Nothobranchius furzeri: one gene and its partner. The protein of the gene in region 2 interacts with the protein of the main gene of each other region in a pairwise test. Links are inferred from orthologs where the notes say so. Each region holds a gene or a part of one and is shown on either strand. Other genes may lie near its edges.

Region 1 (3,537 bases), on a different chromosome or scaffold from region 2:
TGCCCAACCAATCCACATGTGCTTTGTGGATTTGGAGAAGGCTTATGACCGTGTCCCCAGGGGCACCCTGTGGGGGACGCTCCAGGAGTATGGGGTGGGTGGCTTTCTGTTAAGGGCCATTCAGTCCCTTTACCAGAGGAGCGTGAGTTTGGTCCGCATAGCCGGTAGTAAGTGGGACCTGTTCCCAGTGAGGGTTGGACTCCGCCAGGGCTGCCCTTTGTCACCGGTTCTGTTCATCACTTTTATGGACAGAATTTCTAGACGCAGCCGTGGTGTGGAGTGTGTCGAGTTTGGTGGCAGGAGAATCTCGTCTCTGCTTTTTGCGGATGATGTGGTCCTCCTAGCTTCATCCAGCTCTGACCTTCAGCTCTTGCTGGGTAGGTTCGCGGCCGAATGTGAAGCGGCTGGGATGAGGATCAGCACCTCCAAATCTGAGACCATGGTTCTCGACCGGAAAAGGGTGGCTTGCCACCTCCGGGTCGGGGGAGAGGTCCTACCTCAAGTGGAGGAGTTTAAGTATCTTGGGGTCTTGTTCACGAGTGAGGGGAGGAGGGATCGGGAGATCGACAGGCGGATTGGTTCGGCGTCTGCAGTGATGCGGACGCTGAGCCGATCTGTCGTGGGGAAGAGGGAGCTGAGCCAGAAAGCCAGGCTCTCGATTTACCGGTCGATCTACGTCCCAATCCTCACCTATGGTCATGAGCTTTGGGTAATGACCGAAAGAACGAGATCGCGGATACAAGCGGCCGAAATGAGTTTCCTCCGTAGGGTGGCCGGGCTCAGCCTTAGAGATAGGGTGAGGAGCTCGGACATTCGGGAGGGACTCGGAGTAGAACCGCTGCTCCTCCGGATCGAAAGGAGCCAGTTGAGGTTGTTTGGGCATCTGGCCAGGATGCCTCCTGGACGCCTCCCCGGGGAGGTGATTCGGGCATGTCCTGCCGGCAGAAGGCCCCCGGGTCGACCCAGGACACGTTGGAGAGGTTACATCTCCAATCTGGTCCGGGAACGCCTTGGGGTCCTGCCGGAGGAGCTGGTGGACAAGGCCGGGGAGAGGACGGCCTGGAGCTCCCTAGTTGGGATGCTGCCCCCGCGACCCGGACCCGGATAAGCGGAGGAAGACGAAGACGAAGCATTTATCAAGCAGATTTCTTTTCTGGAACATAAATATACATTTAAATAGAATTCAGCAGAAGTCCTATGCTGCCCACAGGTGGGCCTGTTTTTAAATGAGCTCTTCTAAAGAGGTATATTGGCTGATGCTGAGATATATATATATATATATATATATATATATATATATATATATATATATATATATATATATATATATATATAAAAAGTAAATATTGGCCAGATATATCAGCCGACCAGTATATCAGTCTATCCCTGGACTGAAATAACACAGAAAAAAGAGAAACTCAAGTTTAAAGTCATAGTTTCTGATGTGATCTCCAATCCATTCATAATGAAAGATGTTTGCACGTAAATCCATTTAAACAGCCTGAGAATTATGGCTAAAATATGTAAATATGTCACAATCAGTCATGTTATTGGCAGCAGTAGCTCATGAGGTACAGCGGGTTGTCTAGTAATCAGAAGGTTGTAGGTTCAATCCCGGTGTCAGAGAATGCTGCTGTTGTGTCTTTGGGGCAAGACACTTAACCCGCTTTGCCTGCTGGCGGTGATCGAAGGGACTGATGGCACCAGTGCTTGGCAGTCTTGCTTCCACCATTGTGCCCCAGGGCAGCTGTGGCTACATTGTAGCTCATTTTCACCAGCGTGTGAATGGGTGGATGACAGATTGTGTTGTAAAGTGCCTTGGGGGGTTGTAGAACCCTACAAAGGTGCAATACAAATACAAGCCTTTTACCATTCTTATATCTAAACATACTGCTAATATAGCATCAAATACAGTTGGCTTTGTATACCAAAGTGTCTAGAATTGTCTTTATGGAAATGTTACTATTTTTCTTCTTGGATTTTTTTTTTTTTTTTTTTTTTTTTTACCAAAAAGCTTAACCCTAATTTGGCGTTTTATTGCTTTGTCTGTGTGAGTAAACCTCCTGAACAGTGCTTCTCTTTTTGTTTGGGTGCAGGATGTTCTTCGGCTGGGCCACAGGGGAGAACCGGCCAGCTTCAGGAAGCCTGATGCAGCTCCTAACCTCTGGAGGAGATACACAGGCTGTGGCCAGTCTGTAAAGAACGGAGCAAAGCTGTGGCAATGTGGAGGGGGAGTCAGAGATGGAGGTAGTAGAGGAGGGAGGAATAGAAACAGAAGGCGTAATGGGGAAGACAGAAGGTGACAGAATAAGGAACGTGTACAGGAGATGGCCAGATGGGTGTATTGTGGGGGAAGAGGGGAGTGGGTTTTGTTACAAACACTGCCTCACACCGCCATCTAGCTGTTGTTTACCACAGCTTTTACCCTGTAACAGGCAATCTGACTGAGAGGTCTTCTGTAATGGAAATAAACTGCTCACCAAAGGACCATTAAGACACAAAGTTTCATTCAATGTTCAGTCTTGTGTAATTGTGCTGAATTAGAAGCATGCCAACATGTTGGTCAATCATTTTAGAGAGGCTGGTGTGAAAACAGGAGATAAAGATGACCTATGTTGGTGAACCCAAAACATTTGTGATGTCAGTTATGGTGGTATTAATACACTTTTCTGAAAAACTGATAAAATTTAAAAAGATGTCCTCATATGTGTGAAGCCATTCATTCTTTCATTCAACGTGTGCCCAGTATCAATTGTAAGAAATTATGATGTGATCCTTCATTGTCTCCGAAGAGCCTCAGCCTCTGCAGAACCTCAAGGAACAAAGAAAATATGGAGTGGCCTTAAACTTTAGTTTGTAGCCTCCAAGTGTCCTTTGTGCCCATCATGTTAAAGATGGTGCTCTGATCCTGCTGTGAGTTCTCCTAAATGTTGTCTTGTTACAGTTGGAATTCACAATAAACTGGGTCAAAAATCAACTATGGTTCCAGTTACATTTTGAAAACATAACTGACACTCCTACAACCAATACATTTGGCCTAAATTACATGTGCTCTCGTTACAAAACAAACTGGTCCTTAGGAATTTAAAACATTTTGATCCATGTTAAAGAGACGATGTGTTGTTTTTACTGGTAGTCTCTGGAAATATCATCAAAGATTTTGAAAATTAAATATTGCCCAGTTGTTGATACATTGGCAGCTTCGTAACATATAAGAATAAAACATCAGGTCTAAAATGCATGGGAGTGGGTCTAAGTGCCTTTTCTAAAAATGTGTTTTCATATGAAAGTAGTTCATGCCCCCTATCGCCAGGGGAAATACACATTGTTAATGTTTATTTTTTTATTAAGTTTGAGATTTGATCCTCCTGTAACTAAGTGGTACAAGTTCTGCTTTATTTGAAGCATCTGCTCCAGATGAAGACTCAAATATTTAGCATCTCTGTATAAGAATGTCCACTAGATGGTGCTCTTTACCAACTGTCAGCTTCACGCTTGCTCTGTAATTTTTAGTGGGAATCATATTAATCAAATGAA
Region 2 (3,755 bases):
AAAATGTGTAATGTAATATTTCCGTTATGATAACATTTGATGTGGTTCCGCGTTAGCTAAACTTCGCTCTTTGAGCAAACCAATCATCGAATTGCTAAACTATTTCATTTAGGTAAATGTCTAGCGTGTCGATTTAGCTAGTGTGTGCCACGAGTGATATTAAATAGCCTCTCAGGACTTAACAGCTTGCCTGGTATCAAGCTGACAAGGCACCACCTGCCTTGCTTCCTAGCCCAATGCACATATGGTAGTTTACTGATCGAAAGCAGCTGCGACCAATTCGTATGAGTTATTGAACCCACAGCCTAGACTGGCAGGAAATAAACCCTGTAATAACAACATTACTACACAAATTACGCCTCTTGGTTAAACAGTAATGTATAAGCAATTAAAATATTTATATTTATTGTTTGGGGGTATATTTAGCTTATTTAAACCTAAAAACAGCGCAAAATCATGTCTATTGTTAACCTGAGAGGGAAAATTGAGGGCAATAAAACACTGCTGCTCACAGAGACGCAGAAGGTGCGTTTGATCTATTAACCTTGTAGCACGGTGGAATAGTTGAATTTACACCTAATTTAAAACTTTACACACCACAAGTATGATTTCTGCCTTGTTCATAAAATAGGTGCGGGGCTGGAGTTATTTTTGCACATGATTGATCTCATTGATTAAAGGTTTTAATTCATCGTGCATAACAAAACATTAAATAACTCTCTGAGAAAATTACCACATAAATACATGAATTAAAAATATATAATAACAAAAGTGAAGAAGTGCCATATAATGCAATATGTAATATTTATTAATATTAAATATGATTCGGGAGGTGATTCTACGGACGGTGCAGTGTTACATTTTTAACCTCCCCAAAACGTAAAAGTAACGAGGATATGTCAGTCAAATCTGTGATTTTATTCATTCAAGCACAATGCTTACCTTTTATTTAATTTATTTTTACATTCTACAACAAGATGAATGCTAAGAATTAAATATTGAATGTTTAAAATATGCTCAGCTAAGGCGTTTGTATATTTTAGACATGATTCTTATCCCCCCATGCTAACATGTCAAATGGTTTCGTCCAAACTGGAACCGTCTATCAATAAATAAATAACAACAGCGCCTTTTGTTCCAAAATCGTGACTTTGTTTTGTGTCTTCAAAATTAAAACTTATTTTTACGTTTAATTTATTATAATTCTATAATTTGTTTTAATCATGATTAAAAAAAACGTGATTGTGTATAGGGTTAGGTAAGTAGGACACCCCTGTCATTACGAGGTTGCTCTTCCTGGCACTTCCTTGTTCAAAAGTTTTTTTTTTTATGGGAAGGCTCCAGGGGAGAAAGTTGGTCATCAGATTGTGTTTCTAACTTAAATTCTACGGTCATCTCTGAAGACGTGGACTATGCGTGTCGCATATTTTGATTTAACTAGCTACGGCAGCTGATTTGATGGGTGGTTTTTAACGACTGTCAGCGGTGAAAGGCTGGAGAAAGAGGAAGATGTCGATGGCTAACGTTAGCGAAGACATCCGAGAGAAGTTTCCTCTTCATTCCGCTGTTTGGGAGAATGATTTCAGGAAACTGGAGGAGGAATTACGATCGCTGCAGGTTAGTAGATGCGACGAACTTTTTATTATCCACACATCTGTGTTTTAGTGGTTAAACAAAACGAAACCGGAGTTAGCTGTTTGGTGGCCTTAGTTGAAAGTAGGCCATTGATGTTGACAGATGCTGCTGACACACACACACACACACACACACACACACACACACACACACACACACACACACACACACACACACACACACACAGTCTGAAATATTATAGATCAAACTGAGTGGTTCAAGGTTAACATCCTTCATAGACGTAATAATACAGACATGGGCGAACCATAAATGACACATATAACATGGGATAATAATATTTAAGAATATGTGTTTATTAGTTGTTTATTACTCATATATTTTTTATTTATTGCATCTAGTGTGAAATAACTGAGCACAAAATCAGCCTTATGATGTATTTTTATTTTAAAATCGTTAAAAGGCCGTATAAATCAGCGTTACTCACTCGTACCTGTAGTCTCTCTTGCATTGTGATACATTTTGTGTCGTATTGCCAGATCTTACCAATACACACCTCAAGTTTTCACAGTGTAATTTGCTCAGATCACCAACTATTAACATAGTTATTATATAGTGACTTGTATGAGAAACGTGCATGAAGCTGTTATTGTGGTAAGTACAGTCAGTCATTTACTATTATCAGCAAACGCTTAAATGATTAGTTAGATTGTTGTTTAGTTACAAATCCTGCACAAAATATACGTTTATCATCATCTGGTGTTTAACTATTTAAATTATCTGATATTTTTCCTCAGAATGAAATTGAGACTATGGACCCTAGGGGTCGGACCCCTTTGCACCTGGCTGTGTCCCTGGGACACCTGGAGACCGTAAGAGTCCTCCTGAGACATGGCGCTCAAGTAACTAAAGAAAATGCCCATAACTGGACAGGTTAGCTCTACACCTGAATAAGATGACAGATGAAATAACTCTCTGGGTTTCTTCATCACTTAGAACCCTTCATATATTTTTAATGGGATTTCTGATTTATGCATAGCACACTCTTTATTGTTTCGGTGAAACAGTTACTGTTGCAGTGAGGTTTTGTAATGGGGAATGTGCTATGTTGGTCCTTAAAAAGGTTTAGTGGTTTTCCGAACGCTTGTTTTTTGTGTGTAGTGCTACAGGAAGCGGTCAGCACTGGAGATCCGGAGATGGTTCAGTTAGTGCTTCAACGCAGAGACTACCTCAAAGCCTCCACTGCTCTGGGAGGAGTGCCTGAACTGCTGCTGAAGATCCGAGAGGTTGTTACCCATTCGTGTGTGTGAGCCTGGAAACAATTACCTGACAAATAAGCATGGGTCTGATTTTATTTATCTCCAGTCTCCAGACTTTTATATGGAAATGAAGTGGGAATTTACCAGCTGGAGTAAGTTTTTCTTTTATTATTATATTTTAGAAGTTTAGAGAAAAGGTTTCCCTGATTTGAACATTGATGTTCTTTTGTGTGCAGGGGTTTCCCTGATTCATGGTAATATCGGCTAAGTAGAGTTTATTTTGTTTTGTTGCCACCGATTACCCCAGTTGTGTTAATTAAGTCTCTATTGGTTCATTTTCTTTTGTGTAAATAAATGTGTTTAAGTTTAGCTTTTAACATCCCAGACAAGCCCCCATTTGTTACCCCAGGACCCCTCGATAGCATGGGTTGTAACAGTCATTCAAGTCAGAGGAAGCATTTCTAACGATGTAGCACCTGATGACTGGCTTAGAATGCTTCATCAGAGCCTACAGGTCAAAGGACATACCTACAAGTTTATCGAACCACATTCTTTTCATTGGGATGTTTTCTCACACGGTTGTTTTAGTTCCTCTTCTGTCCCGGATTTGTCCGAGTGACGTTTGCCGCATTTGGAAAAGTGGCGCCTGCCTGCGAGTGGACACCACTCTCCTCGGATTTGAAAACATGACCTGGATCAGAGGTCGCCGAAGTTACATCTTCAGAGGAGACGGTGTGTGTTTGAATCACAACACCAAAATCCCCAATTCTGTTTATGAAAGCTATTTCTGTAAAGGGCTGTTTGTATGCTGACAGAGTCATGTGCTGAGCTGATGGAGATGAACCACGATGATGGAGTTGTTGACGTCGAGCGCTTCAACATATCTCAAGAAGTAGAGGATGT

The links.
Region 1: the proteins of ankrd13a (region 2) and qdpra interact in a two-hybrid assay, tested with the Homo sapiens proteins (2 studies listed by BioGRID). The two-hybrid records come from large-scale screens. The link is inferred for Nothobranchius furzeri from reciprocal best matches to the Homo sapiens genes ANKRD13A and QDPR.

What each region holds. Positions count from the first base shown.
Region 1 is NC_091741.1:74,698,995-74,702,531, reverse strand, and holds the end of qdpra (dihydropteridine reductase), read left to right. Parts: intron 1-2,096; coding exon 2,097-2,199; 3' UTR 2,200-2,977; downstream 2,978-3,537. UniProt on the Homo sapiens protein: Catalyzes the conversion of quinonoid dihydrobiopterin into tetrahydrobiopterin.
Region 2 is NC_091757.1:45,582,125-45,585,879, forward strand, and holds the start of ankrd13a (ankyrin repeat domain-containing protein 13A), read left to right. Parts: upstream 1-1,337; 5' UTR 1,338-1,509; coding exon 1,510-1,617; intron 1,618-2,390; coding exon 2,391-2,526; intron 2,527-2,754; coding exon 2,755-2,879; intron 2,880-2,958; coding exon 2,959-3,004; intron 3,005-3,440; coding exon 3,441-3,584; intron 3,585-3,667; coding exon 3,668-3,755. UniProt on the Homo sapiens protein: Ubiquitin-binding protein that specifically recognizes and binds 'Lys-63'-linked ubiquitin. Does not bind 'Lys-48'-linked ubiquitin.